Linked DNA regions of Pelodiscus sinensis. Each later gene encodes a partner of the first gene's protein in a complex. Links are inferred from orthologs where the notes say so. Each region holds a gene or a part of one and is shown on either strand. Other genes may lie near its edges. The genes, in order: GNAO1, C3AR1, RGS16 and P2RY2.

Evidence for each region.
Region 2: the proteins of GNAO1 (region 1) and C3AR1 are in contact, whole or in part, in a cryo-EM structure (PDB 8I95), measured with the Homo sapiens proteins. The link is inferred for Pelodiscus sinensis from reciprocal best matches to the Homo sapiens genes GNAO1 and C3AR1. Residues at the interface, in NP_066268.1 of Homo sapiens: Ile28, Ala31, Lys32, Asp33, Val34, Asn194, Leu195, Ser264, Asn316, Glu318, Tyr320, Asp341, Ile342, Ile343, Ile344, Ala345, Asn347, Leu348, Arg349, Gly350, Cys351, Gly352, Leu353, Tyr354; in NP_001313404.1 of Homo sapiens: Asn57, Asp119, Arg120, Val123, Val124, Pro127, Ile128, Gln131, Asn132, Arg134, Asn135, Tyr356, Ile359, Arg362, Gly366, Arg367, Phe368, Ser371, Lys374, Thr375, Val378, Leu438.
Region 3: the proteins of GNAO1 (region 1) and RGS16 are in contact, whole or in part, in a crystal structure (PDB 3C7K), measured with the Mus musculus proteins. The link is inferred for Pelodiscus sinensis from reciprocal best matches to the Homo sapiens genes GNAO1 and RGS16. Residues at the interface, in NP_034438.1 of Mus musculus: Glu64, Asp65, Gln68, Ser75, Arg86, Thr117, Val180, Lys181, Thr182, Thr183, Gly184, Ile185, Val186, Gln205, Arg206, Ser207, Glu208, Lys210, Lys211, His214, His236, Glu237, Asp238, Glu239; in NP_035397.2 of Mus musculus: Glu85, Phe86, Ser87, Glu89, Asn90, Glu124, Ala125, Pro126, Glu128, Val129, Asn130, Asp132, His133, Glu134, Leu161, Lys164, Asp165, Ser166, Arg169, Lys172.
Region 4: the proteins of GNAO1 (region 1) and P2RY2 are in contact, whole or in part, in a cryo-EM structure (PDB 9K20), measured with the Homo sapiens proteins. The link is inferred for Pelodiscus sinensis from reciprocal best matches to the Homo sapiens genes GNAO1 and P2RY2. Residues at the interface, in NP_066268.1 of Homo sapiens: Ala31, Lys32, Asp33, Val34, Leu195, Gln305, Glu309, Glu318, Ile319, Tyr320, Cys321, His322, Met323, Val334, Phe336, Thr340, Asp341, Ile343, Ile344, Asn347, Leu348, Gly350, Cys351, Gly352, Leu353, Tyr354; in NP_002555.4 of Homo sapiens: Asn66, Ser68, His130, Arg131, Gly134, Val135, Pro138, Leu139, Leu142, Arg143, Met221, Arg224, Leu225, Ala229, Tyr230, Gly231, Thr232, Ser233, Pro237, Ala239, Lys240, Lys242, Ser243, Arg245, Thr246, Leu308.

The regions. Positions count from the first base shown.
Region 1 is NC_134722.1:44,556,835-44,563,820, forward strand, and holds the start of GNAO1 (guanine nucleotide-binding protein G(o) subunit alpha), read right to left. Parts: upstream 3,003-6,986; 5' UTR 2,544-3,002; coding exon 2,426-2,543; intron 2,200-2,425; coding exon 2,157-2,199; intron 1-2,156. UniProt on the Homo sapiens protein: Guanine nucleotide-binding proteins (G proteins) function as transducers downstream of G protein-coupled receptors (GPCRs) in numerous signaling cascades.
Region 2 is NC_134711.1:132,724,277-132,731,698, forward strand, and holds the start of C3AR1 (C3a anaphylatoxin chemotactic receptor), read left to right. Parts: upstream 1-4,419; 5' UTR 4,420-4,694; intron 4,695-7,422.
Region 3 is NC_134719.1:57,909,127-57,916,739, forward strand, and holds the start of RGS16 (regulator of G-protein signaling 16), read left to right. Parts: upstream 1-4,606; 5' UTR 4,607-4,691; coding exon 4,692-4,735; intron 4,736-6,011; coding exon 6,012-6,109; coding exon of another isoform or gene 6,110-6,113; intron 6,114-6,550; coding exon 6,551-6,654; intron 6,655-6,845; coding exon 6,846-6,909; intron 6,910-7,613. UniProt on the Homo sapiens protein: Regulates G protein-coupled receptor signaling cascades. Inhibits signal transduction by increasing the GTPase activity of G protein alpha subunits, thereby driving them into their inactive GDP-bound form.
Region 4 is NC_134711.1:320,713,322-320,721,037, forward strand, and holds the start of P2RY2 (P2Y purinoceptor 2), read left to right. Parts: upstream 1-4,700; 5' UTR 4,701-4,834; intron 4,835-7,716. UniProt on the Homo sapiens protein: Receptor for ATP and UTP coupled to G-proteins that activate a phosphatidylinositol-calcium second messenger system. The affinity range is UTP = ATP > ATP-gamma-S >> 2-methylthio-ATP = ADP.

The DNA.
Region 1 (6,986 bases):
CCAGACTCATCCTACAACCCATCATCTCTAAGGCTGATTTCAATGTGTTCTCTTCTGGTTGAAGGGAAGGGATACATTCATGGATGTCAGCACACACACACAAAGCCATACCTGGATAAGTCTATTGCAGACAATCTAATGGACAGATGCATTTATTAATGTATTGATGTTAATTTGCTCCAGACCCTCCCTTTCCTACTCCAAATTTTCCAATAAACCAAAGGACAAACCTGTAACTGCAAACCTTTCCAAGGAGTTGAAAGCTGAGTGTGTCTTTACTGAAACACAAACAACGCTATAAAAAGCCATGGGAGATGTCTGGTAGGACTGCCAAAGCAGCTAAAGCCATGGAAAACTGGACTTCCCCGTCCCTCTCTGGAAGTCGCCTTATTTTTCTCTGAAAACAGATCACAGTGTCCCTCCCCCGGGTGGCAAAATGGCAAACAGCTGGAGAGCGGGGTGGGGCCCAGAAGGGAAGGGACCGATCCTGTTCAATGGCAAAATGACCCAACCTGCAGATCGCTCGACAATGCATCGAACGTGTGCGGTGGGCGGGGGAGGGCAGCGCACCGAGCGGCTCCGAACCCCTTCGGCCATTTCCGACGCTGCTCTGTGTCTCCCGACAGATTCCGAACGCCGCCGAGGCAGGCTCCCGGCGGCCGCCGAGCTTTGCCGAGCTGCCGGGGCCGATCGACTTTTCCAGGCTCTGCTGGGCGCTGTCCACCACTCGGAACGCCTGAAAGCTCGCAGCTGGCGCCGCGGCGTGGGGACCGGCCCGGCCGACAGCCGCTCTGCAGGCAGAGTCCCCTCCCTTTGCTCAAAGCCTTCCAAGGGAGGCCCGCTCCCCCAGGCCACCTCTGGCAATGACAGGCCGCCACACCCGCTGCTGGGCATCGCTCTCGGAGCCTCCCCCAGGGGGTCAGCGTAGCAACTCCCTTTGCAATCAGCCTTGCACCGATCAATAACAAACCCGCCCTGGGCCTTTAAAACCAAGCAGCAGGGACGCTCCTAAGCCTGCGATCAGGGGCTGCTCAGTGATGGCGCCACCTTGAATGAGCTTGTCATGGCTATTCCAGGGTAAGCCCGACATTTCTCATGTACTTACAAAATAAAAATACCCTCCCCCCCTTTCGCTAGCCTGCCTCGCCTCCCCCCCCCCACCATCACTGCTTACTTGAAAGAGAATCAATGTGTGTGCGCGCGTTTATGGCATAGCAACTGCCCAATTAGCAAGCGTGTGCGCGCACAAAGGTGTCACAGAAGAACCCCTGGGCAAGTCCAACCCTACACAACCGCAGCAGTTCGCCGCTTTCTTCCAGACAGCCTCGTGAGATTTAAAATACATCCATGCCCCGGAGAGAGGGTTGAGGGAGGGGAAGACAGAGGAACAATGTTCCGATTTGGAAAGGGCTTTTACAGCGGAGCAGGTTTCCTTGTGTAATTGTTTTAATGTTCTGTTCTTTTTTTAAAACTCCCTTAATTTTCATTGGTGATCAGCAGCCAACGTCTTAATTAATCAACAGGAAAGGCGGAAATCTCGGGTAAAAAGGGCTTTGAGTGGCAGCAAGCCTTGCTTTAAATCCGCATTACAGGCAGATTTTTAAAATAAACAAATACAGGGAGCCGGCCCAGCAGCTCACGTCAGGAGGTAAAACACGGAAGGGAGTGTGTGTTTTGAGAGGAGAGAGCCTAGGAGATAAAAACCTGACATTAAGCTTAAATGCAGAGGATGATGATGTCCTGGTTTCATCTGTGCCATTCATATCTTCTACGAAACCCATCCTACCCCACCCCCAACCACAGGCAGCTTCTCACACCTTATGAGAGGGAAAAGAGAAACCACACCACATCCAATTCAGCACCAACCCCATGAACAGCAGACACCTGGTCATCCTCGGTGAGCAAAGGGCTGGATCCCCCTCCATCTTCTTTCCCCACTAGAAATCACTGCTACAGATGTGCCATACTAATGGGTCCACAAGCCACAACACGATAACCACAGTAATTCTCAGATAAATATGGCGGTCACAGGCATTCTTACAACTAAAGAAGCCCCTTCTCACAAGCTCCCCCCTCCAAAGAAAATCAGAGGAATGTCTAGATTTTTTCAAGGCAAATGATCGACGCTTCTAGGGCGTTAGCCCCAAAGGACTTACTTCATCTGCTTGACAATGGTGCTTTTCCCAGATTCTCCAGCCCCTGTTGGGACAGACACAGAAAGAAAAGATCCAGTGAACGTGAGAACATAAGGAGATAAAGGAAATTACACAGAAGGGAGCAGCTGTGTTAACGGAGGGGGTTATCTTGGTGAAATACAGTTTCCCAAGACAGAATGTGCACAGATGGGAAGAAAACATGACTTAAGGAAATGGGTAGGGATGTGGTCGGCGGGGCGGAGTGGGGGGGGGGGGGAGCTGCTGCTTACCTAGCAAGAGTAATTTCACGTCTTTGGCGGCGCTGATCCCATCCTCCTTGAGATTTTTCTCAATCGCTTTGCTCCTCTCCAAGGCAGCTCTCTCCTCTGCGCTCAGTGTACATCCCATGATGGCCAAAAAAACCCTCGGCGGCCGCCTCTCCCCTTCTCAGACACTCCAAGAGAAAGGGGGGAAAAATGAACCCCCAGGAAAAAATCTGGGCAATCAAATACGTTTCCCCTTTCTTGTGAATGCCCTTCCCTCCTTTCCCTCTCTCTAGCAATCAGTGCATCCAAGGGGGAGCCGGGCAGATCTAGGGCTGCAGGCAGGCACGGGGCTGGTGCAAAAAAGGCTGAGCTCTTCCTGATGGAGGAGGAGGAGGAGGAGGAAGAGGGCTCGGCGGGGGGAGGGGAAAGGGTGGATCCTGCTTTGGCTGGAGGGTTTTTTTCCTCTGATGCAGGCTGTGGGGTCTCTAATGGGCGGCGGCGATGGCTGCGAGCGATCGCATCGTTCGGCGGCTCCTGGCGGAGAGGGAAGCAGAAGGGGAAAGCGAGCGGGCGGGAGGGAAGGAGGGAGGGGGAGTTGCGCCAGGGGTCCGCACTCACGGGCTCGCCTGCTTTGGTGACGTCCGCAGCGCCCGCCCGCGCATGCTCCCAGAGCAGGGTGGGCTGCTGGCGCTCCCGGGCCGCGAGCAGCTGCTCCCGCGGCTCCTGGCAGGAGGAGAGCGCGCGCTCCATCCCTAGGTGCAGCGAGGATCCAGCGAGAGGAGGGCGGGGAGCAGCCCCGGGGGGTACCTAGGTAGGGCCCTGTGCGCTCTGCAGCCTGCGCGAGTTGGGAAACAATTGGAGCCGGGGAGGAAGGAGCCTGCGGGTGGACAACTCGTCATTGTCTCCCTTTGACCCCTCCAGGAAAGCTCTGCCAGGCCAATGGACTTCGGTGAGGTTCAAAGGCGTCTTTCCCCTTTCCTCGCATGCATGCTGCCCCGTGCCAAGGCCGGGGGCTAGCCGAGCTCACTCTGTGACCTTTCAGCAGTGACCTCAGTTTTCCCAAGCAGAATTCATGGCTTGGTGGAGTGCCTGGAGTAGGAGCTGTTTTAGCAGTGCAAATGATTATTCTCCTTACTGGCCTTTCTGTACATACAGTGTAGCTCAAGCAGTGGTAGAAGTACCCTTAGGGGAACTTGAGAGAAGGCTGGGGGGGGGGGGGGGGGACGTCAACAACTGAAATTTGGAGAGAACTGAATTTTTGTTTGAAGTTTGACAGCGCTTTATTATTTTTGTACATTTTACACCCAAAAATTTCATCGCCTGCCCAGCTAAAATTAAGTTATTTAAACAAATGGGGTGCAATGGTAGACAAAAAAATTGTGTGTCTGAAAACTAGGTACTGAGGGTACTTATAATTTTGGTTTTTTTGAAAAGGGGTTCTTTATAAAAAAAAAAGGTTGAGAAACACTGGTGTAGTGAATAGGGCTTGTCTAGTGCTACTTTGGTAATAATGAGAGGAAAGGCTGGGCCTGGGCTGCAGGAGACCTGGTTAAATTCCTGGTTTTGCCACTTCCTGTGCTGGCCTTAGGTCACTTTTTTCCCCTGTGTTTCAGTTCTCCTCTATAAGAAGTTTCTCCTCTTTCTGCCACCTTTTGTCTTTTTTATTTAGACTGTAAACTCTTTGTGGGCCGGGACTATATATGTACTGTACAGTGCATACATTTACACAGTACATCTGTGTATGTACAATGCATGCCTAGCACTATGGGTTTTGTGTCTTGGTTAGCACCTGTAGGTCCTGCTGTCAGAAGGAGCATAATAATTGATTCTAGGAAGTTTATACACTTGCAGAGATGAACTTTATTAGGCCTGGGCAAATTTGGTACCAGGTGGGAGAGGAGACAGTGAAAGAAGTGACAAAAGGTTTTCCCTGATGAAATCCCATCCTAGGTTCATTCAGAGACATGTACATCAATTGCAAAGCTAAAGCTGAAATAGCTTAATTCGGCTTTTGGCATGGTCTACACAGCAGGAAGTCGAAGGAAGAACTCTCTTCCTTCAACTTCCCTTGCTCCTCATGAAATGAGGGTTACAGGAGTCGAAGTAAGAAGTCCTCCATCTCTAAATTATTTCATAGTAACAGCTTGCGTTGTAGAAACACATTGTGGCTACGTCTAGACTGGCATGATTTTCCGGAAATGCTTTTAACAGAAAAGTTTTCCGTTAAAAGCATTTTTGGAAAAGAGCATCTAGATTGGCTCGGACGCTTTTCCGCAAAAGCACTTTTTGCGGAAAAGCGTCTGTGGCCAATCTAGATCGCCATTTTCGCGATCGGGGCTTTTTTGCGCAAAACAAATCTCAGCTGTCTACACTGGCCCTTTTGCACAAAAGTTTTGCACAAAAGGGACTTTTGCCCGAACGGGAGCAGCATAGTATTTCCGCAAAAAGCACTGATTTCTTACAGTAGGAAGTCAGTGCTTTTGCGGAAATTCAAGCGGCCAGTGTAGACAGCTGCCAAGTTTTTCCGGAAAAGCGGCTGATTTTCCGGAAAAACTGGCCAGTCTAGACACAGCCACTTTGTAATTTTGAAATAACATCGGTTATTCTGAAATCACAGAATCATAGAACTATAGAGCTGGAAGAGACCTTAGAAGGCCATCAAGTCCAGCCCCCTGCCCAAGGCAGGACCAATCCCAATTAAATCAAAGCCGCCAGAGCTTTGTCAAGCCGAGACTTAAACACCTCTAATGCTGCTGTGTAGACATAGCCTAGATGATTACCTGTTTTGTTCATTCCCTCTGAAGCACCTGGCATTGGCCACTGTAGGAAGACAGGATAATAGGCTAGATCAGTGGTTCTCAAACTTTTTAGCCCACGGACCACCCAATGTGAAACTTTCTGCGGACCACAAGCTGATAATGTAAACTCATCATTAATTACATATAGTAATTACACTCAAGCCATTTTGCTATTGGCTGCAGCTAGGGAGAATGGTTCAATTTAAGTCATTAAACAGATTAAGAGTTTTAACTGTCTCATGTTCGTTTATAAAATTTCATTCTAAATAAAGTAAAATATTAATTTATGTCCAACACAAAAGGTTTCAATGTTTTCTTTATTTATGGCAGGGGTGGGGAACCTTTTTTGTGTCAGGAGCCACTGACCCACAGAAAAATCAGTTGGGGTCCACACAAGTGAGAAGCAAAAAAACTCTCTTCCAACACCCCCCCCCCCTCACAATCCTGGTGCTCCAGCCTGATGGGGCGAGGGGAAGAGACAGAGAGGACTGAAGTTCAGGGCTTCCCATAGGCCAGATTCACTTTTCTGGTGTTCTGGAGTTACTGGATTTTATAGACCTCCTTAGACTCTGGGGTGAGGACAAAAATGAGGGGTTCAGTGTGTGGGACAGGGCTGCCAGTGAGTGGGATAGAAATAAGGGCAGGATCTGGAAGGGAGGTGGGGTGCAGAAGGGGAAGAGGTTGCAAGGTCTTGGTGGGAGGTAGGGTACAGAAGCAGGCTGGGAGTAGGGTGGCTGGCTAGGAGGAGGGAGCAGGAGCAAGGGAGGGTGCAATGTGTGACCAGGAGGGAAGGTGCAAGGAGCAAAGCGGATGCAGGAGGCTTGGGGTAGGGTGTCTAGCCAGGAGGGAGGGTGCCTGGTAAGGAGGGAGGAAGATGGGGGCTAAGAGTGCCTGCAGATAATGCTGGGGTGCAGAGTGGCTGAGGGGGTTCAGGTTGATGGGGGCAGGGTGCCCCTGGGAATAGGGCTGTAGTTAGGGTGTTTTTGGGGGGTTCAGGGATATGGGGGGGAGGGAGGCTAGGTGCAGCACAGTGAGGCAGGGGTGGGTGAGTAGGTGACCCCGTGGTGTCCAGCACTGCTGGGGGGCAGAGTCCTGTGGGGGTCTGGTCCATGGCACCCTGGGGGGTGGGTGCTGAAGTGCCTGAACCCCTTCCCCCAGACCAAGTCCCCTAAGTGCAAAGCTCTGAAGGACCCCAAGCCCCCACCTGCATCCTGCGGGCTCCTCCCACTGCTGCCGAACACAGGGCAGCCTAACCTGCTACCAGGGAAGGGGGAGGGCACTGGCCACTCACACCACAAGAGTCTGTCCTGCCCAGCTGGGCCCTGCACAGCCAAACCTGAAGCCTGCCCTGTGGGAGCAACTGAGGGATGCGCCACTCTGGAGATCAGCTGCTAGAAGTGGGCCTCAGCCTCCTTGATTGGATCCACCTCGTCATCTCCAGCCTGATCCTGGCCTGCATATTTATTCCTGCCTCTGGAAATTTCCACTACATGCATCTGACGAAGTAGGTCTTTGCCCACGAAAGCTTATGCTCCTACACTTCAGTTAGTCTATAAGGTGCCACAGGATTCCTCGTCGCTTTTGCAGATTCAGACTAACACGGCTACCCCTCTGATACTCTTACCATGGCAACTGCAATGTCAGCAGGGCCTAGTTGAGGCAGACACCCAGCAGTGGGAGGAACTTTTCCATGAAGGAGGGCAGACCGGTTCTCCTCCATGTGTAGGTCCACAGCCCATGCCAGGGGTGGGTGGTGCTGAGTTCTGCTACATTTTGGACTCTATCCT
Region 2 (7,422 bases), on another chromosome or scaffold:
ATGTAGAATCCCAAGTGCTGCCATTGCAAGGTTCAAGCCTGCTCAGCCTTGGAATTGCCAGTCCCCCTGGGGCAGTAGCTGCAGCTGTCTAAGGCAGGGGTGTCCAAACTTTTTTCAAAGAGGGCCAGATTTGAAGAAGTGAACATGCGTGAGGGCCGTCCCTGCATTCTCAGCCCCAAGGCAGAGGGCCCGCAGGGTTGGAGGCGGGCGGAGAGCACAGGGCACTCCGGCCTCACGGCGGCCCGGGGACAGGGCGAACCTGCAGCCGAGCGGGGGAGCGGAGCTGTGGACGTGCCCTACAGGGCAGGCTCTAGGACCGCGGAGGCCATGGGCGGTGGCGGCGGCGCGGCCGGAAGCGGCGCGCTGGGCACGCCAGTTCAAAAGAGCGCCGGGGAGCCAGGAGAGGGGGAGGAAGCGGGGGCCGTATTAAACCGGAACATGGGCCGCAATTGGCCCACGGGCCGGACTTTGGACATGCCTGGTCTAAGGCAATTAGCAATTGGCCCCATGGCTGTAGCCAGAGAAACTGCAGGTGGCTCTGTGACAACTAGGGCCATTAAGCTAGGTGCAGACAAAGAAAGTGGAGTTAACTTCAAGGAACAGTGATCACCGGTAGGAAAGAAATATCCAGGGCAGTGATGCCATTTAAGGGTGATTGCAGCCCCCGGCCAAGTTTCCTACTATGGCAGGACACTTTCTCCAGTTTCCCCTCTACCCAGGAGTGAGAGCAATGCAGGCAGCTTTTTGTTTACTCCTCTCCCCCTCTTGCTCACTGGAGTGAAAGGAATGCAGGCTCATCAAACACAACAAAAGGCCAAGCCTGGGTCTTTTGTTGTGCTTGATGAGCCTTGCCTAGCCAATACAAAGGGCTGCTTGGTCCTGGCTGAAATCAGGAGCAGCTGGGTTAGAATCAGGGATCCTGGTGCCATTATTCCATTACTGGCAAGAACAGAACAGCAGCAAAACACAAGGGTGAGCAGTCAGCATGCTGCTTGCTTGCCTACTTTGCATCCTCTTCTCTCCTCACCAGCCAGCCAACAGCAACATAGTCTGTAGATTTTCCTCTGCAGGCTCTCACCCCATCTCCCAGGCTTAGCCACTCTGATTGAAAAGCTCTCCCTCGCCATCCTCCTTATTGACTATTCTTTGTGGAGTATCTGGCAGATTGAAGAGCAGGGCTGCGTTCTGCAGAACTATTTACAAATTCATTGAGGCAAGCAGGTTGAAGGAGGGGTGGGTGGGTGAGGAAGGAAGCTCAGAGGATGTTGACTGCAGATTTCATGATCTGCCCTCATCCTCATGAGTTACTATGTTTAAAAGGCTGGGAGGAAGAAGCCCTTTGTGACACCAGTAGCCACAGAGCTGCTCAGGCAGGGGAGGAGACTGCTGCTTCAGGCACATTCAAGTTAACTCAATTTTGGATGTTTCAGTGCGGCACTGCTAGAGTGGCAGAACTAAAGAATGACCATTAGGGATCTTTCCCTGCTGTCAAAAACAAACATGAGCTGTCGCACCACAAACATTGCTTCAACTACACTTCAAACTTTCTTATTTTCCCAACTCTCCAATTTTGGGGGAAGTGGGAATTGGCAGTGTCCCAGGGTTGCCACCTGTTCTTCCATTTAGTCCCACTTGTCTGTGAGCATCTTTCCTTGACTCCAATGGGCTTTGGGTCAGGTTACCAGGTAGGGCCATACAGGCTGTTACACATAAATGGCGATTCCTCGGGAGGGTTCCAATTGAACTTTTTAATTCTTTCTCAGAACATCTTTTAAGGAGCTGCTGGTATTTTTACATGTACAGATTCAAACAAATGCTGCCCTAAGCAGCCAGCCAACTATGCATCTGCTGTGCTATGTGTCCTTCTCTTCCAACTGATAAGTCATTTTAGGTTTAGCTCATGTTTACTCGCTCTTTACTACAGTATTTCTGAAGGTGGCCCAGTCTCATGAACTTGAGTGCCTTCAGTGAACATCATAGAGGTGATTTTTATACTCTCAAATCCTTAGAGTAACACACTAGGAATCTCCTTCCAATCTGGAGTGTGGTTTGTTTCTCAGTAATATATTTACTTTTAGACACTCCTGGAAGAAATTAACTCTCTCATTCTCTTCACAATTTGGACCATAAGACATTTAAAGAATAACATTAATTGCTAGGCTAAGCAGTTTTTAAGAACATTTTAGTTATCGCTACAAAAGACAGTGTGCAAAGTATCAAACTTGTGTTATGGATCCAAAATTGGAAATATCTTGCTGTTGATTGTTCTAAATTTTAAATATGGCTTTAATTGGTATATATTTTTTCTTTATATAAGAATTAGGAACACTGGTCCTGCCAGTTAATTTCTAAGTTATCGTGTGCAAAAAAACCCCCAGGGATATGTCTACACTGCCCCGGTTTTGCGTAAAAAATATGCAAATGAGGTAAAATGTGGAATATCGGCACGCCTCATTTGCATAAGTAATGAGGCTCTGTTTTTACACAAGAGGCTTTTGCGCAAAAAGAAGCTGTCTACATGGCTCCTTTTTGTGCAAAACCCCCCTCTTGTGCAAGAGCCGTTCTTCCATATTTTTTTCAGGAAGAACGGCTCTTTCACAAGAGGGGGGTTTAGCACAAAAACAGAGCCTAGTTAATTATGCAAATGAGGCACAGAGATAGTCCACACTTTGCCTCATTTGCATTTTTTTTTTTTTTTGCACAAAATAGGGGCAGTGTAGACATAGCCCAGGAGTTTTCAGGTGCCTAAGTAGCCTGTGGAATGAAATCATGGTTAAAGCTACCCCTCATTGCCCCAGAATCAGAAATGGCATTTCTGGTCAAGGGGAGAAGGGGAAGAGGAAGCAAGTCAGGCCTACAGGCTTACAGAGAGAGAGAAGCCCCAGCAGGCAGGAGAGCATACCCAAGGTAGAAGGAAAACAAGCCTGCAGAGAGGTGGTGGTGACCAGGTACTAGACCGGCACGTTGATGGGAACTGAAGGAGGAAAGTGGGTGAGTTCAGGTTGTCGGGTCTAGGTGCTCACTTTGGGAAATGGTGTTTACAAGTAGCTGACTCAAATGGCAGGATGGTGCTGGGGTAGGGATTTGTCAGAACTGATCAGGTGGCTGAGAAACTTTGTTGAGCTGAGACCAGGCCCACATACAGTGACTGGTAAAATCAGGTGGTCTTGGAGACATGGCTGTAGAATGTCTGGAGGAGGAAGGAGAGAAATCTGTGCAGAGTTTCCCTGGTCACTATGAAATCTGCTCACCATGGACACTGGTAAACCCACCTAGGTGTATGGCTCAATGAGAAAACTAGAGGCTGAGGAAGCTGTGAGCCTGTGTATGGCAGTACATACGATCTTGCCGAGATTTGTGATCAAAAGAAAGAATGCCTCTGAGATTCAGTACAGGCAGTCCCCGACTTACGCGGATCCAACTTATGTCGGATCCGCACTTACGAACGGGGCTTTTCTCGCCCCGGAGCTCGCGGGCGACAGGACCACCCAGAGCGCAGCGGTCCCGCCACGGCGTCCTCCGGGGCGAGAAAAGCTGCTCCGGGTCTCCCTGGTGTGCTGGGGGGGGACTCCCTAGCACAGCAGGGAGACCCGAGCAAAGCCGCACAGGCGGCGGGACCCTGCTGCCCGTGCGGCTTTGCTCCTTTGCCCCGGAGCAAAGCCGCACAGGTGGCGGGGTCCCCCGCCTCTGCGGCTTTGCTCCTGTCTCCCTGCTGTGCTGGGGGGGACTCCCCCCGAGCACAGCAGGGAGACAGGAGCAAAGCCGCAGAGGCGGCGGGACCTCTGCGCCTCCGCGGATTTGCTCGGGTCTCCCTGGTCTGCTGGGGGGGAGGGGGCGCAGCTAGCGCGCCCCCCCTCCCCAGCAGACCAGGCTTTTGTTGCGGGACGCCTGGGGTAGAGCAGCTGGGGTGCTGCCGGGTTGGTCCTGCGGGGACATACCCGGCAGCGCCCCAGCTGTTCTGTCCCAGGAGTCCAGATTCAGCTGCTGTTGAAACTGATCAGCGGCTGATTCCAAGAAGCCGGGGGCAGAGCAACTCTGCCTAGGGCTTCCTGTAGTCAGCCGCTGATCAGTTTCAGCAGCGGCTGAATCTGGAGCCAGGTCCGACTTACATACAAATTCAACTTAAGAACAAACCTATAGTCCCTATCTTGTACGTAACCCGGGGACTGCCTGTATTGGGAATACTATGGCTCTGCCACACCAAGCCTATACTCAAAAGGGACCAATAACAACTACATGGGGGCCACAAATATGTTTGGCACCAAGTCCACAAAATGTTAATCTGGCCTAGATGGCAAGAGGCAAGAGAAGATCATGTGCTTTGATCTCATGTGATGAGTCACATTTTTGTATGAAAACTTTGATTTGCAGTGGACAGAGCTATGCTCCCTAGTAACTTCTAGGTTTGCTTACTCTTCAGTCCCGCTTGTTGAAAGCACACTATCCTTGCCCATATGTTACTGTTGCATTATCTCAGCAGCATCAAGCCAGATCTTTTGCAGCTTGTATTATCTAAAATTGCAGGCATGACTCATTCTTGTCCTTCCGCTTGGGTGCAAAAAATCTTCAGTGGTCTTAAAAAAGTTAGTTCCTAAATTCACCTTATAAGTTGTTCTCTGATCAGTCCAGAGCCAGTGCATAAGACAAAGAGTGATTCTTGCTCCCCCATCCATTGAGGATTCTGCTGTACTGGGGTATGTACAGAAGACAGACAGCATTCTGTCTTTCTGATCTGCAATTTCTCTTTACTGCTTTTCCCCTCCATCTGTCACTCTTAAAGTGTCTCTCTATCCCTATCTTTGTATTTCTAACTTCCTCTTTCTTTTAGAGAGCTAGAAAACATTGGGTGGGAGAGTGTGACAGGACTCTCTAGATGGAGTCATCCAACTCCCAGTCTTGGAGCAGGATTGATTTCAGTATGTACAAAGCATCTTTTTACTATCCACTGTATATATTCTGAGAGGCAGCTTTATCATGTGGCCAGGGCAAAGTTCTGTCTTGGCTCCGTGGCGTATCAGTGAAAGAGGTTACTCCATAGCAGCACTCCTCTGGAAGGATAAGGGACCTGCTAGTGCAATAAAAAGAACCGGGGTGGTCTTTAGATGGAATAATAGTGACCTGTGATTTGGCCACTGCAGGAGCAGGCTGTTAGCCTCAGTGCTCTAAAGGGTGTGTAGTTTGTACAGTAACATTACCTCCTGCCTGCACACTTGGCATTTATTACTACAGGTACTTGGTAAGGAATAGTGAGCCTTAGTTTCTATTCCAGCCATGTCACTAACTCCCTGGGAATGTCATTAAAAGGGCATTTCTGCTCTGAAAAGTGGCATTGTGAGGCCCACATTGACCATCTCTCAAGGATTTCCATATCAAATGCACTCTGGTGACAATGAAAAACTTAAAAACCAACAAATAGTTTAGTAGTAACCTGTCACCTGAAGGAGTGGGCTGTGCCCACGAAAGCTCATGGTAGCATCTATATGTTTTGTTAGTCTCTATCTAAGGTGCTACTAGACTATTTGTTGGTTTGTAAGTTTTTCCTGTTACAGACTCACACGGCTACCCCTCTGAATCTGGGGACAATGTCCTTTTTTCTGACTCCCCACTTAGCAAACTGAAGGCTTGTCTTCGCGCACTGTGCTATACAGGGCACAGCTGCACCCACACAGCTGTGCCAATGCAGTGCTTATGGAAGATGCTCTATGCCAACAGGGGAGCATCTCCTACCAGTGTAGTTAATATATCTCCCCAAGAGGTAGTAGGTCTATTGGTGGGAGAAACAGTCAACACCAAAATCTAGGTCAATGGGATGATGCCACTCAGTGCTGGATTTTTCACACCCTTGAGCAATGTAGTTATACCAATGTAGGGCTGTAATGTAAACCTAGACTTGCTCTGGGATCTCAGAAAACATATCTCATATCAGTTCAAAATGCTACTTGTCCTGCAAAGTCTCATTGACCACGTCACCCACCTCCCCTTTGTTTCCCTCCATTGGCTTGTCCTTCTTCCATGTATCAAATATAAACTACTAGCAGGTGAGGTCCGTCGTTGACTGGGAAAAGTCATTTTGTATAGCTAACACAGGAAAATTCAAGAAATGAAATATGTCATAGAATTGTTTATTAATGTGCTTGCAAAAGGGATGTAAAAGAACAGTTTTATATTTGTAGGATTTCAACTTCAAACATTATTCATTTTATTGAATAATTACCACACATAGGGTATGTCTACACTTGCCCCCTAGGTTGGACTAGGAAGGCAAATGAAGCATACCAAAGTTGCTAATGAGGAGTAACAGTTAATTCGAGGGAGGGGTTTTGGATTGGACTACTGCGTCTACACACGGCAAGTTAAATTGGCGACCGGCCGCTAATATGCTAATCAAGTGCGGGATATTTAAATCCCGTGCTTCATTAGCAACTTCGATATGCTTCTTTGCCTCCCCAGTCCGACCTAGGGGGCAAGTGTAGACATACCCATAGTAAATTTGAATCAGAAGCTCATAAAGATTCCATTACTCTTTCTGTAACTAATTTGAATTATTTTTTATTTGTAACAGCAAACATTTTCTTTGCACTAAAATGGCAGTTGAACAGGTGACTCAATTTTAATTTTGTTAGCAAATATTTTTATGAACTCTAATCATAATAGTCATAAGTTTTTTGTGACGAAAACCAAAAATAATTATTTAAATCTTTCACCCAACATATTCTGGTGTAAAAAGTAGTGCTTTCAGCTAATTTAAGTGGCAGGATTGTTTATGCAAAATTTGGTATCTATAAGTAATTGTTAAGTATGGCTTTATTTTGCACAAACAATTCACAAACTCTTCAAAATATATAATAGACTACTCTTTATTTTGGCCCTCTGCTGCTTAGCCCTACCTTAAGAAGCCTTTATTGGCCATTTTCCTCAAGCACCTTTGTGCTTTTAGCTATGCTGCCTCTTATCTTAAGAGCAGCTTTCCAAACATAGTCCATATTGTCCCTACTTTAAACTCACCCTTGCTATGATGCCTAAAGCTCTCTTAACAATGATGGTGATAAGTGCTGTTTATTATATTAATCATTATTGTTTCATTGTGTATCTTGGCCTCCCTTCATTTGTGTTCCATCCATCTTTTGTCTCATGTTATAGACTGCAAGTTCTTTGGGGGCAGGGCCTGTTTGACAGGGCAGTCCTTACACATATGCAGAATATGCAGCTGTGTAGAGCACCCAAAAATCTGGGGCACCAGAGGCTTCAGTGTCCACCTACTCACCTCCTTCTGTCCCTGTTCTGTGGCTTATACTTCTTCTGGAAAGGATCTAGTTCACTTAAAAGTGAAAAAGCCTGCCAGAGCTATTAGCAGAATATTGAACCTGTGAAAGAGCCATTCAAGTGGTAATGCAGTCATTTAATAGGTATATATTGTAAGTT
Region 3 (7,613 bases), on another chromosome or scaffold:
TTAAGTTCTAGGCTCTTCTAGAATGTGTGCTATGACTTTATTTTATACACAAGCATTTGTTCCCAATACTTCTACTTGTTACTACTTGGCTCTCTGTGCGTTGATGAATAAACGTAGGCCTGATTTCACCATCAACATGCCTGAGTGCTGCTGTGTGTTAAGCGGAGCGCTGTTGTGAGGAGTGACTGCTACGCTAGGGTGTTGTTTCTTTGGAAGCAGTGGGCCTGCTCTTTGGATGGAGCGTGCCTATCGCTCATCTGTAGAGTGACAGGAGTGCCTGCCAAGCCAAGAGGGGCCAGTGTTTGTGTGGCCTGTGGCCAATGGCGTTAGGGAGCTGACCTGTGACAAGGGTCTTCCCAGCCTGGGTACCAGGAAACACCACAGTTCTCTCCCACCCTGGAACTGAATGAGCATAGCATCTAGTAAGTGAATGATCTTTACCAGATTCCTGTGCACCTGTGGAATGGTGTTTGAGACAGTATAGGGTCTATGTGTGCCTAACGTAGTGAATACAAGCAGAGAGAGGGTAAGTTTAGAAGATAGGATACACAAAGAACAAGTTAAAACTCACTTAGGAAAGTTAGATGTCAGCAAGTCACCAGGTCCTGATGAAATGCATCCCAGGATACTCAAGGAGCTGATAGAGGAGGTATCTGAGCCTTTAGCTATGATTTTTGAAAAATCATGGCAGACTGGGGAGATTCCAGAAGACTGGAAAAGGGCAAATATTGTGCCCATCTATAAAAAGGGGAATAAGAACAACCCAGGAAACTACAGACCAGTCAGTTTAACGTCTGTCCCAGGGAAGATAATGGAGCAGGTAATTAAGGAAATCATATGCAAACACTTGGAAGGTAATAAAGTGATAGGGAATAGCCAGCAGGGGTTTGTGAAGAACAAGTCATGCCAAACTAATCTGATAGCTTTCTTTGATAGGATAACGAGCCTTGTGGATAAGGGAGAAGCGGTGGATGTCATATACCTAGACTTTAGTAAGGCATTTGATACGGTCTCGCATGATATTCTTATTGATAAACTAGGCAAAGATAACTTAGATAGGGCCACGATAAGGTGGGTGCATAATTGGCTGGATAACCGTAGTCAGAGAGTTGTTGTTAATGGTTCTAAATCCTGCTGGAAAGGGATAACAAGTGGAGTTCCTCAAGGGTCTGTTTTGGGACCCGTACTGTTCAATATCTTCATCAATGATGTAGATATTGGGATAGAGAGTACGCTTATTAAGTTTGCAGATAATGCCAAACTAGGTGGGGTTGCAACTTCTTTGGAGGATAGGGACATAATTCAAAATTACCTTAGCAAATTAGAGAAATGGTCAGAGGTAAACAGGATGAGGTTTAATAAAGAGAAATGCAAAGTGCTCCACTTAGGAAGGAACAATCAGTTCCATACATACAAGATGGGAAGCGACTGTCTAGGAAGGAGCATGGCAGAAAGGAATCTAGGGGTCATAGTGGACCACAAGTTGAATATGAGTCAACAGTGTGATGCTGTTGCAAAAAAAGCAAATATGATTCTAGGTTGTATCAACAGGTGTGTTGTAAGCAAAACTCGTGAAGTCATTCTGCCGCTCTACTCCGCACTAGTTAGGCCTCAGCTGGAGTACTGTGTCCAGTTCTGGGCGCCACATTTCAAGAAAGATGTGGAGAAATTGGAAAGGGCACAGAGAAGAGCGACAAGAATGATTAAAGGTTTAGAGAACATGACCTATGAAGCCAGGCTTCATGAACTGGGCTTGTTTAGTTTGAAAAAAAGAAGATTAAGGGGGGACATGATAGCAGTTTTCAAATATCTAAAAGGGTGTCACAAGGAGGAAGGAGAAAATTTGTTCCTCTTGGTTTCTGAGGACAGGACAAGGAGTAATGGGCTTAAAGTGCAGCAGGGGAGGTTTAGATTGGACATTAGGAAAAAATTCCTAACTGTCATGGTGGTCAAATATTGGAATAAATTGCCAAGGGAGGTGGTGGAATCTCCCTCTCTGGAGATATTTAAGAACAGGTTAGACAGACATCTGTCAGGGATGGTGTAGACGGAGCTTGGTCCTGCCTTGAGGGCGGGGGGCTGGACTCAATGACCTCTCGAGGACCCTTCCAGTCCTATGATTCTATGATTCTCTGATAAAGATCCAGGGCAACTGGTATGCAATGGATATTTTCAGCTGTTCCAGTGATCCAAAGCAGCTATAAACTTAGTATAACACACTGGTTAAGCAACCCATCGCTACCAATGAATCTGGCCCCTTATTATTATGGCAATGTATTTATTATTTCCTGTATCATACGCCAGTTCTACTATTCCTTTGCTGGACAGACCTTGCTAGGAAGATGAAAACGTGCTTCAGAGGTGCTGCTAAAGCAGCTGACATGAGCAGTTGTCCTGAGTTTGCTGCAGCAGGCAGACTGAAATCTCTATCCCATGACATTACCGACTCACGCACACAAAGCCCCTGGACAGATGAGAGAGTCAAGAGTTTGTGGAAAACGTCCAGCCTGGCGGATGGGCTCCCAGTAGCCAAGGGGCTGGTTGAGAGGCAGGCAGGATGAAGCAGAACTAGCACTCTCAGATTTGTATTTGAAAGATGAGGCATGTAAGCACTGAGAGATTAGCAACTGCTGTCCAGAGAGTGCAATGAAAACAGGGAACCACAAAGAGTTAATGCTGAAAAACCGTCATCATGGTGACTGTAGTCAGCGCTGGAGCAGATGTTACTCAGGGAGAGAACTGCTTTTCCACTCTGGAGAGCATTAGACTGTGCTTGTGTGGCTGTCATATGTGCGCACCACAAGGGTTTTACACCCTCCTCTAGCATTTTGTATTGGTCACTGCTTGAGACAGAATGTCAGCATTGCTCTTGCATCCTATCCACCCAGCTATCCTCTGCTCTTGGCCACTGATCTCTCTCTACAGCTTGTCTGCAGGTCTCTCTTGCTTCTTTTTCTCTCTCTGGCACCGCAGACTGCAGCACAATGTGGCCTATGAGACGGTGCAGCAGCAGGATCCTGCTTGAGAGCTGCAGCTCTGTCAGAAGCGGTTTTATTGTGCATTCGGCTGTTTCAGTAGCGCCTTTGGCATGGCCATGGAGCGAGTGATGCTCTGCTAAGACAAATCTTCCTCAAGTCTCAGTCTGAGGAGCAGAGGGCCTCTTAAAACAGAGAAAAAGGGACCGAATCAATCCATGTGTTCCCCTTCTTCTATGTTGTCCATCTCCTCATGGCTTTGCTATAGTTCAGCATTGTGATTAAAACAAGGTTTGGTCCTGCCTAGTAAAGCAAAATTCATGTCATGTTACAACATAGTGGGGGCACTAGCAGATTGCAGAGATAAGGACACTTCTTTGATCTTCTTTCTCTAGCTTTTTGCCCCCTTCTCATTCTCTTTGGCTCTTCTGTCTTTATCTCTTGCTCTGTTCTCTCTTTCCCCTCCTGCTGTTTCATTCTCTCTGGTTTTCTATTTATTATTCTTTCTCATTCAGGTTCTTGCATGTCTGTGCCACCACACATTTTCCCTTGTTCTATATTTCTCTCCTTTTCTTTTCCCCTTTTCTCCCTTTGCCAAACGCAGAGCAGAAGAAATACTCTGCAACTCCGATCCAGCAGCATGCACCTGGAACCCTATCGGGGCCTGGTAATGGTAAGGCTTGTCCTTCCACACAGTTTCAAAATACAGATGAGACCAAACTCCATTGTATGGACCTACAGTATGATTTGGAGGCATGGTCAGAACACCATTTTGCCCTGTTGGCAATGCAAGGCAGACACTGGCCAGTTTCACCCCTATGCTCTGGCTGCTTTGCACTGCTCTGGAGATTGTAAACCATTCAAATTGAGCGTACGGTTACTGAATACCGGAACAGTGCAAAAGTTCCTGGCGAATCTGGCCCATTGTTTAAATCCCAGTGAAGACAAGTACACTGTAACTGGTTATGTTCCCTCTGATCTTTTCCTTCCATCCATTTGTTCCATCCATGTGTGGAATAAATTTTATGTGCACTGAGGCATGTGCGAATGTGCACCACCAGTAGAAACACAAACCCTAGCTGCGGGTGCTCTGCTAAACAGCTGGGCAGCATGTGAATTTTTCATGAGCTGCTGCACCACAAGCCCACAGCTTCCAGGGAACACTGGTAACTGGTGTTCTCCCACCAGGCTTGTATGTGTAGTGCAACAGGAGAGCTGGTCATTGCTGTGCTTTTCATACATTGTTTTAAGAAAAAGAACAGCATCCCATTCTCCTGACCTCTCTTACTGCAGAGACACTTTTTCACAGCAGCGACAGGGGCAGCAGCGATGCTGTGGCGTCTGCTGTTTAAAGAGCAGGTACAGTTTATAGACAGAAATCAGTCTGTTTTTCCTGTTAGCTGGGAACAGGTTAGGTTTGTGATGTTCAAGGACAGTTCTGATTCTCCCCCCACGTCGCCCTCTCTTAACGCACACAAAAGAAACCCACCTAAACCATCATCATCTTTTCTTACTACTGTCAGAGCTTGTGGTTGGCTGGAGGTTGGAGTTGTGTGTGACTAAGCCCCTCCCGTGCCTCCCACTTCTTTTGAGATATAAAGCACAGCTCGCAGGGCAGCCGGCCAGCCTTCAGCAGCTGCTTGTTGCTTTCACTCGCAGTGACAAGGATTAACCCTGTTGTCCGCTCTCCACCCTCCTGCCAGCCCCGTTCTCAGCATGTGCCGAGGTTTAGCTGCGCTTTCCGCTACCTGCTTGGAAAGGTAAGTAGCTCTGGAATACAGGGATGCTGGGAAATAAAAGGACTAGCTGATAAAGAAATGTTAAGATTCAGTACCGGACTTTGTGGCCCCTGTTGCATGGGCAATGATGCTGTGTTTGTAAAACTGGGATGAACGCTGGGTTTAAATCCCAGCTCAGAATGATTGAGGCACGCCGGTGCCGGGGGGAGAGGAACGGAGGGGGTAAACAACAGGAAGTTGTGCTGATATTATGATGTTTTCAGTGCATGAGATTTGCCCTTCAGTTGCAGAACTTGCTTTGCCCTGACAACAGCAGGAGTATTTCTGCAAACATATTTACAGTGAAATTCACCTGACGGCAAATGCGGAGTCCTGTGTTACTTGTCTGGCACTGCTTTGCGTATTTGTATAACAGATCTCCGAGAGACACCCCCCATTTGATCGGTAGGCTTGCCGAGGGGTGCTGCTCTGGGGAGAAGATGGTCTAGCAGGCAGCTGCCTCTGTCTGTCGCAGAGGTGTCTCAATCCTGTCGCAGACATGCTGAGGCAGGGAGCGGCCTCTGTGCAGCCGCAGAGAAGCCCTGCAAATAGCTGCAGCAGTCCTGGCGCTGCGACAGAGACACAGTGGCACGGGGCTGTCTGCCCAGGGTGGCAGACACAACAGGGCCAGGACCCGTCTCCACACTGCGGCTGAGCAGAGAGCAGTTTTCACTATTTCCCTCGAGACTCCAGAGCAGAAGGGAAAATTACTGATAAGAGGGTCAGGAGATTGACTAATGGACACCAGGGAGAGGAGGAAGCCAGAGGAATAATGAAAGGCCCGGACTGGGCAGGCAGCTGCCTCTCTACACTCACCAGGCAAACACCTCCACACACGCCCTACCTGTGAATACAGGAAGAGCGCATACAAGGACATGGTCTCCCACGGAGCTACTGAGAGTTTTCTTGTGGCGTCTGGTGGCAGGAGGTGGGACTGGAGGAGAAAGGTTTTAATTCATAAATAGGAACGCATAATTAATACTATCGATAACAAGCGGTCAAGCCATGCTCAGGAGGAAGGGGCTGAAACTAAAGTGAATGGAGCCGGGCCTGTTTGATTTGGTCCTGTGTCTCCAGATTAGGTTTAGGGAGAGAGCTAGATATTTGGATCATGAGGCATTTTCTGTAAGGAGATGGAGCTAACCAGCCTGGCCTACCAACCGGCCTTCCCTGATAAGCACACACCTCTGCCCTCTAGTGGCCATTCCTTGCCTTTGGGGTCCATTCTAAACCCAGTGGCTCCTCTTCTGTCTTTCAGAGCCAAACAACTCAAAACTCGTTTAGGGATCCTGCTTCATAAGCCAGAGTTGGGACAGGAAGCCGAGAGTGTCAGCAAACCCGAGCAGGACACCAAATCCAGGTAAGCCAAGCCTGCCAGCCCCAATTTAGCCCAGCCCCCCCCCCCCCCCCAAGCTGCACCGAGAGTGGATCACGTCCATGCTCCTCTCCCTATGAGGAAGAAAGCACCATACATCAGGAGAACTCGCAGGTCTCCATCCACTAAGCCCCATCTCCAGATTTTCAGAGGGGAATGTTCATTACCCAGCTCGACAGTCAGAAAAACCAGACTAGACAATAGGGCCCTAACGAGTGACATCTGGAACAAAAGTGTGGTGCCCCAGCTTCAGGCTAGACACCAGCGTGGACTTCCCCAGCTGTCTGGGGGACTCCAGTAAATGGAGAGTGGAGGCAGAGGGTGTCTGTGGACTTTAGTCAACTCTAGAGCCAGGGAGACCCTCACTCTCTGAAGGGAAACTCTTTGCCAGAACTTATACCAGCTGGAATTGGCATTTTATATGGAAAAACTATTGTCCATAAGCTACCCTATGGAGGTAAGATCTAGCCAGTCATCTGGGAAAGTAAAAGAGAGGGAGAAAGAGAAAAGAAAGAGAAGACCCCAGAGATAATGAGATTGCTGGGTCTCTTACTTGAGTTTTTTATGGAGTGATGCTATCCTCACCTATTCCTCTGTCTTCCCCTAAATGCGGTAGCCAGCTTCTGTCCTGGAGCTTTCCTATCCCTGAGTATTTGACCAGATCGAGCACTTGTTAGAGTTTGTTTCCATAAGGTTTATACTTTGCGTTTCCTTTCCAGAAATTCCTCAGAGGAGGCACTGGAATGGAACAAGTCCTTTGACCACCTGCTGAAGAGTAAAAGTGAGTATGAGTCCCTTGTATGACAGTATGAGGGGGAGACACCCTGTGTGGGCAGGGAGACCCAGGGCTAACCAGCTGCATAAGTTCAGCGTAACAGGGAATGTTTGCCCATTCTCAGACTAGAACAAAAGAGAGGTCGGTCTTTAGGAGCCCTTTCCTTCCCCCTCCTGAGAGCATTGCATTGATGCAACAAGGACAGTGCAGCGGTTGGATAACTGTGTGAACAAGCTAAGCAAAAACCAATCGGAGCTGCTGCATGGCCAAGTAAGGCTGCCATTAAGGCATGGGGCTCTCTCTTGGCACAGAGACAGGCCCGGCCTTTGGGCAAGGCGGTTACCTTGGGCCCCATGCATTCAGGGCCCTGCGCTGCCCAGCTCCCGGCCAAGCCCACTCACTCGCTGCCCTGACTGGGGGCCGCGTGGTTCAGCCAACCACAGCGTGCTGCCTTGGGGCCCACAAACTCTTTGGCCGGGCCTGCACAGAGACATTGCATCACAATGCAATGCCATACTGTCGGGGCATAAACATCATATAGATGTTGTGTCAGGGAGATGCAGCATGTTGTCAAGCTGCCTAGAATAAAACCCTGTAGTGCAAATTGTCCTGCAGGGTATGGGTACTACTCATCCCCCTCTCAATGCACATTCGGTAGAGACCCATGAAAATTGATATAGTTCAGCAGCTTTGGGGTTAGGAGCAACATT
Region 4 (7,716 bases), on another chromosome or scaffold:
ATGTGGACCTAGCTTCTGCCTGCTGAAAGTCCCCTGGCCCTCTCTGATGTACTCCCCGCAAAAGGCATTGCAGAACTTTTAGGATACATCTACACAGAGGTGAAAGTAACTTAACATTTCTTACTGGTACGGTCCTATTACAACCTGGGTCCCTGCCAGCTCTTTCAATAGCTCCCTGCTGGTTTTTGCCGCAGCTCAGCCAGTTCTTGCTGGAGCAGTGCACCAGGTGCACCCACTTACTTTCACCTCTGCGTCTACATGGCAATAAAAAAGCCACAGCACCAAATCTCACCACCTGGGTCAGTTGACTAACCTGGTTTGCAGGACCAAAAACTACAGGGTGAACATTTGCGCTCAAGGTGGGGCTTGGGCTCTAAGACCCTCCCCATTTATGGGGTTTCAGACCCTGGGTTCCAGCCAAGTCTGAATATCTACACTGTAATGTTTAGCCCCACAGCCTGCGCCCTGTGAGCCCAAGTCAGCTGACAGCCATGTGATGGGTCTTTTACTGCCGTGCAGAAGGATCCAGACATGCGCGTGTGCTGTACATTTACATCTCATCATGCTGCACAGCAGTGGCATAGCTAGAACAAAGTGTGTCGGGGGGGAAGCTTTCAGGTGGATGGGCAATGATGTGTGGGGGAATGGGGACAGGAAGGATCGGGTGTGCAGGAGGAATCCAGTGCCATGGGGAAGGGAGGGGCCGGATCTGGTGCTCTAAGGAGAGAGGCAAGAAGGGAGGTGCAGATGGGAACCACTGAAGGTAGGGAGGTGGGGTGGGCTCTGGAGTTGCTTAGGGGATATTGCCTGGGGAGCACTGGGTTGGAGGCTCGAGTCCTTCCACCCACCTTGGGAGCAGCTGGACAGCCAACACCGGCTGCCCTGGGGAGAGGGTGTGACGGCGCGTTGGGGTTTTCCCGTCTCCTGCACCCCCGTAATGGCACGGACAGACTCCACCAGCCAGTAGAATAGAGGGAGTTTATTGCTTCTCCAGGATACAGCACAGCACAGATGTAATCTGGTTACAGGGCAGGCCTAGGATGCCTCAGCCCCCCTTGAGATAGGGGAGCCTGGCCCCTAAATCCCAGCCCGTTGCCTAGGCTGCTTCCTCCATGATACCAGCCAGAAGCCTCACTAACTCACTTCCAGCCCTGCCCCCAGCCAAGGCTCCACTCCCCTTCTTCCCATTGTTCCGCTCCCTGGGAGATAACTGGTCAGACAGGTTCGAAGCCCCCTTGCATAATGATTCACCCCCTGCCCTGCTGGGCCGTGCTGCAGACAGCAGCCAGTGGAGGTCACTCATAACCCAAGCCTAGCAACCAGCAAGGTACCCACACTACGTCACAGTGGGAGCAAGAGGAATGGGGGCCCTGCTTCCCCCCCAGGACTCCTTACTGCCCTGTTGCATCACTCTCCTGCTGGTCCCTCATTGCTAGCATCACCCAGACCTTCCCCCATGTGCATGGATTTGGGGAGCTCTGGCTCCAGTTTGGGTGGGCTTGGATGCTAAGGCGGTGGACCACAGCTCAATCAGGTCCACTTGTAGCTACACCTATGCCCCTGCCACACTCCAAGTAATTGCATAGAATCATAGAATCATAGAATAATAGGACTGGAAGGGACCCCGAGAGGTCATCGAGTCCAGCCCCCCGCCCTCAAGGCAGGACCAAGCTCCGTCTACACCATCCCTGACAGATGTCTATCTAACCTGTTCTTAAATATCTCCAGAGAGGGAGATTCCACCACCTCCCTTGGCAATTTATTCCAATATTTGACCACCCTGACAGTTAGGAATTTTTCCCTAATGTCCAATCTAAACCTCCCCTGCTGCACTTTAAGCCCATTACTCCTTGTCCTGTCCTCAGAAACCAAGAGGAACAAATTTTCTCCTTCCTCCTTGTGACACCCTTTTAGATATTTGAAAACCGCTATCATGTCCCCCCTTAATCTTCTTTTTTCCAAACTAAACAAGCCCAGTTCATGAAGCCTGGCTTCATAGGTCATGTTCTCTAGACCTTTAATCATTCTTGTCGCTCTTCTCTGTACCCTTTCCAATTTCTCCACGTCTTTCTTGAAATGTGGCGCCCAGAACTGGACACAGTACTCCAGCTGAGGCCTAACTAGTGCAGAGTAGAGCGGCAGAATGACTTTACGAGTTTTGCTTACAACACACCTGTTGATACAACCTAGAATCATATTTGCTTTTTTTGCAACAGCATCACACTGTTGACTCATATTCAACTTGTGGTCCACTATGACCCCTAGATCCCTTTCCGCCATGCTCCTTCCTAGACAGTCGCTTCCCATCTTGTATGTATGGAACTGATTGTTCCTTCCTAAGTGGAGCACTTTGCATTTCTCTTTATTAAACCTCATCCTGTTTACCTCTGACCATTTCTCTAACTTGCTAAGGTTATTTTGAATTATGTCCCTATCCTCCAAAGAAGTTGCAACCCCACCCAGTTTGGTATCATCTGCAAATTTAATAAGCGTACTCTCTATCCCAATATCTACATCATTGATGAAGATATTGAACAGTACGGGTCCCAAAACAGACCCTTGCGGAACTCCACTTGTTATCCCTTTCCAGCAGGATTTAGAACCGTTAACAACAACTCTCTGACTACGGTTATCCAGCCAATTATGCACCCACCTTATCGTGGCCCTATCTAAGTTATATTTGCCTAGTTTATCAATAAGAATATCATGCGAGACCGTATCAAATGCCTTACTAAAGTCTAGGTATATGACATCCACCGCTTCTCCCTTATCCACAAGGCTCGTTATCCCTTATCCACAAGGCATAGTCGAGCCCTTAATTGTTTCTCCTTTGTTTGTGGGGGAGTCTTTCACAGAGCAACAAAGAAGGGAGGAAAATATTTTTTTAAAGTAGGAAAATGGGATTGTAAAACCTCAGCAATTGTCTTTGAAATTCCGAGCTAGGTGTAGTAACCAAAACTAGTTTTACCTTTTTTGTTTTAATTGATCAGCACCCTGGATTTCAAGTTTACAGAGTCCCTTTAAAGCTGAATGCGCAATTTGGTGCTTGAATATATTGTCCTTGTGAGAACACTGCACTTATAAACTAAATGAAGGCATCTTAACCACCTGCTTGCCATGTAAGTCATGTAAATGTCTTCCCCTAGACTAGAGCAACATTATGGCACATATCTTTCAGACTACATCTCTGAGCTCCGAGACTAGTTATATGTTTCATACTTAGGTGCTGCTTGTGTATGTCAGCCTGGGCAGCCCACTTTGGTCTGATCAGCTGAGGGTGTCCTTCTGGTTCAGTAGCATTTACACCTATTCTCAAAACAGGTGGAGAACAACACCCCAACTCTGAGTACACCTGACCTGACTATTGCTAGACACAGCCATTCAGAAACTGTGAGCCATGCCCTGAAAATCATGTCATTGGTTTAAAAAAATCACAGTATTTTTAAAAATAATAATTGTTGTGTTCTTTTTATTTGCCTTCAGGGTGCACACAGGTCACATATTCCAACATTTTTCTGCATCCCCAAGGGCTATAAAATAAATTTCCATTGCTTTAAATGAAAGCAGCAGTTCTTGTGAAATAGCATGACTCCAGAAGCTGGGACATTAATAAAACCACCAAATATCATGAGTCATATGATAAAAAGAGAGTTGGCAACATGGTAATCACCACACACAAGTGAGAGTGGAGCTGAGTGATTTTTCTGTGGCGGAGACTGAACCAAAAATAATAATTTCAGTTCAACTGAAAGCAATTTTTCTCCTGACAGTTTTCATTTGAACAAAAAAACATTTAAAAATCATTTTGAGTCAATTAGAAATGAATTTCTTTTCAAGTGTGCTTTTCAAGTGGCTGTACCAGGAGGGGTTTTTTGCTCCTTTTTAAGGGTATGTTTTTTAAACAAGCCAAATGGCATCATTTAGTTTAGAATTGACACATCAAAACAACTGCTCTGATACAAAACATTGAGACTTTTGAATAATTTTTTCCAGTCCATTTCTTCTGCTGAATTTGACCCGAATTCCACAAATAGATTTCAGGATTCAGAAAACCTATTAATTGAAAAAAAATCATTTGGCTGTATGCAGGAACATGTTCAAAATCAGAGCTGGATTCTGGAATTCAAAGATCTGTATCACCCAAACCTCTAGATTCAAACACTCACACTCTGCAGTCAGAATTTTAGTTTGCAGAATCTGCATGTTGCATATAAACTGGACAGAGAGCAAACACCTGACCAGCTAAGATGCTGGCTGTTCTACATCTGGATTCATTATGGGCATCTGGAGCCCATTTGCATTTGATTCTGACTCCATTGTGGTCAGGGAAAGCAAAGCACTCCCTGAAAAAAGTCCACTGGCCACTTCGGATGGCTGTGAGTTGTTGGGTTGCTTTTTACATCTGCCCATCTTGCTCCCCGTAGGTCAGAGTCATCGATCCAAACTAGAACAAAACTCTTTGTTGCTCTGGCAGCTGGAAACCGGTTTGATTCCCATAGTTATTATAGCAAAACTAGTGTGGGCTGGCTGGAGATGGCATCACTGGCATTGATTGCATTGCACTCCGCCTCTCCACGCCAGGCGGCTGAGCAGTCAGAGCAGTAAGCAGAGCTCCCTCGGCAAGCAAAGGGCGAGCTTGCCTTGACAGGCAGGCGCTCATAGAAACTGCTGCTACTCACAGTGTAGGCTCTCCTCTATCAGGAAGGAGGGGAAAGCGACAAAGAAACTGCAAATCACTTTCCATCACAACTGAGCATGAAAGTGACCAGGGAGAGCGCGGCTTGAAGGCAGCCAGAAGACAACGGTCTTCCTAGAGACTTGGAACAACAAATCTGTGAGTGTGAGATTTAAGCTTGATCATCGGTGTTTTCTCTTTCCTCCCCTTCTTTCCCCTCTACTCAGATTTGTCTGGGAACGATGGTCACAAACTCTGAACTAAGGGGTGTATGTGTGTGTGTGTTCACACTCTGAACTAAGGGGTGTATGTGTGTGTGTGTTCACACTCTGAACTAAGGGGGATCTGTGTGTGTGTGTTCACACTCTGAACTAAGGGGATCTGTGTGTGTGTGTTCACACTCTGAACTAAGGGGTGTATGTGTGTGTGTGTTCACACTCTGAACTAAGGGGGATCTGTGTGTGTGTGTTCACACTCTGAACTAAGGGGGATCTGTGTGTTCACACTCTGAACTAAGGGGTGTATGTGTGTGTGTGTTCACACTCTGAACTAAGGGGTGTATGTGTGTGTGTGTTCACACTCTGAACTAAGGGGTGTATGTGTGTTCACACTCTGAACTAAGGGGTGTATGTGTGTGTGTGTTCACACTCTGAACTACGGGGGATCTGTGTGTGTGTTCACACTCAGAACTAAGGGGTGTATGTGTGTGTCCCTGTCCCCAGCACTGTACACTCCCCATAACTGACCTCTCCAGGACTTATCTTTGGTTCGGGGAGAAGAGCTGAACATCGAGGGAATTGTGTTGCTTGAACATTGGACCCGGCTTGTGTGTATGTGCGTGTTTCGCGCGCCCACACCCAGCTAATCACCCGGCGTCACTTGTTGCTGATTGTCTCGGTGTCTCTCTCCTACCCTAACAACAGGGCAGCTTTGGGCTCTGCTCGCTCGCTGGCGGCTGCCGGGGGCTATTTGTGAAGAGGGGTGAGAGCGGCGTGGCAGGGGCTGCCCTGCCGCGGCTGAATGGCCCTTCCCCGCCCAGGAGCGCCAAGCCAGGCTCTAAAGCCCGGAGCAGAGACCCACTGGGGAAAACTCCCCTTTCGAGCTGGAGCCAGAAAGCTCCCGGCCGGCCCCACGCTGGCTCCGCAGTCGGGGGAGGCGGGCAGCGCCGCTGCGAACACGCTCCGGCCGCACGTGGGGACTGGGCGCGGGGCTGCGCTGCCCCAAGCCAGCGGGAGGCGGCGGGCGGGAGCGGAGCGCTGGGCGCCGCTCGGGCTTTGCTCTGGCCCGCGAGCGCCCAGCAGCGCGCAGAGCCGGGTGCCGCGCTGCGCCAGGTCCGGGAGGGGCAGGAGGGGCCTGGGACTCCGCCTCGCCGCTACCAGCTCCTCCCCGGACCGCTGGCGGGGGGAGGAGGGGGCGCCGGGGGCAGAGGCGAGTGACCAGCTGGAGCAAGCGACAGGGTTGGGCCAGGGAGAAGGGAGTAGGCCTGGTTGTTGGCTGCCTCCACCTGTGTCAGGGGCCGGACTCTAAGCTTTGCAGGGCAGGCACTGCCTAGCCCATCTTCCTGCAGCGCCCAGCACCTCTCTTCCCTCCCTGAGCAGCCTCTGGACGAGGGATGCTACATTTCAATTAATGAGCTACTTGATGAGTCGATAAGGGCCCCTCCACCTTTGAAGTGGAGCAACAGCCCCAGGACTATTGCTCCACTTCAAAAGCAACCGCGCTGTGGGGAGCATGGGGCCAGCGGGGGAGACTCAAGCAGCCCCCTGCTGGCCCAGGGCTGCATGCTGTGTTTCAAAGCAGTGCCACATGGAGCCCCAGATCAGTGGGGGAGTCCCAGTGGGGGAAACCCAGCTGGCTCCCCCTGGCATTTCAAAGCAGCAGCACTGCATGGATCCCAGGGTCTGGCCTCAGGCTCCACACAGCGCTGCAGCTTTGAAGCGCTCCCCCGCCCCCCCCCCCCCCTCTTTCTGATAGAGGCAGCAAGGGAGGGGAAGTGACTAGTGTGTCGACTAGTCTTTCACATCCATACTCTGGATACCAGTGAAGAGGCCCTAGGGACCTGAGCCCTGATCAGCACAGCAGACAGGCACTGAGGTGACCAAAGCCTATGTAAAGACCAAAGCTGCTTAAAGATTTGAAATCTAGAACCCTCTGTTCATTGGTTGAGCCTTAGCCAGGGGGCGGGGCTATCAGAAAGGTGAGGGCTTTATAAAGCCCATGAGTAAGTGACCAGAGAGCTTTGCAACCTGGGGCAGCTAACAGGGAGATTTGAGAGGGAGTTTGAAGGGGGTGAGGGTCACTTGCCATTCCTTGAAAATTTTTAAACTAAACTAAAAACAAAACTTCCTGATTTAAATAAAAACCCTATCATTACCCTCTGTAGGAGAGAATGCAGGCAGAAGCCCAGCAGCAGAGTGGGGGCTATCCTGTTTATTGCACTCAATGTAGCATGTATGATTACCTGCCCTGTGGGCAGCTGGCATATGTGTGCATTCGGTACAAGGAGTTCCAGGCCCTCAGAGACCGTGTATGGGCTTTGGAGGCCAGGGTGGCTGAATTGGAGGGGCTAAGGGTGGTCGAGAGGTACATAGATGAGGCTTTCCGGGACACTGTAGAACTGTCCCACCTCTGATCAGACGGCCCCTGTGCTGTTAAGGATGAAAGGCTCAGGGAAGGTGAATATTCAACTGGAGCAGAGGGAAATGATCCCATAGTTGGGACCCTCCTTCCAGAGGATGTTATGGTATCCTCTCACATTGAGGAGACAGCTCTGGGGGAGGGAACTGCAGCTGTTAGGAAAAGGCAGGTGTTGGTAAAGGGGGATTCAATCATTAGAAACATAGATGGCTGGGTTTGTGATAGCTGGGAGAACCATATGGTGACTTGTGCAAGTCATATGGTGACTTGCCTGCCTGGTGCGAAGGTTGCGGAACTCTCGAGACATCTAGATAGTCTTATGTGTAGTGCTGGGGAGGAGCCCGTGGTAGTAGTACGTGTAGGTACCAATGACATAGGGTAGGGTAGAAGAGAGGTTCTGGAGG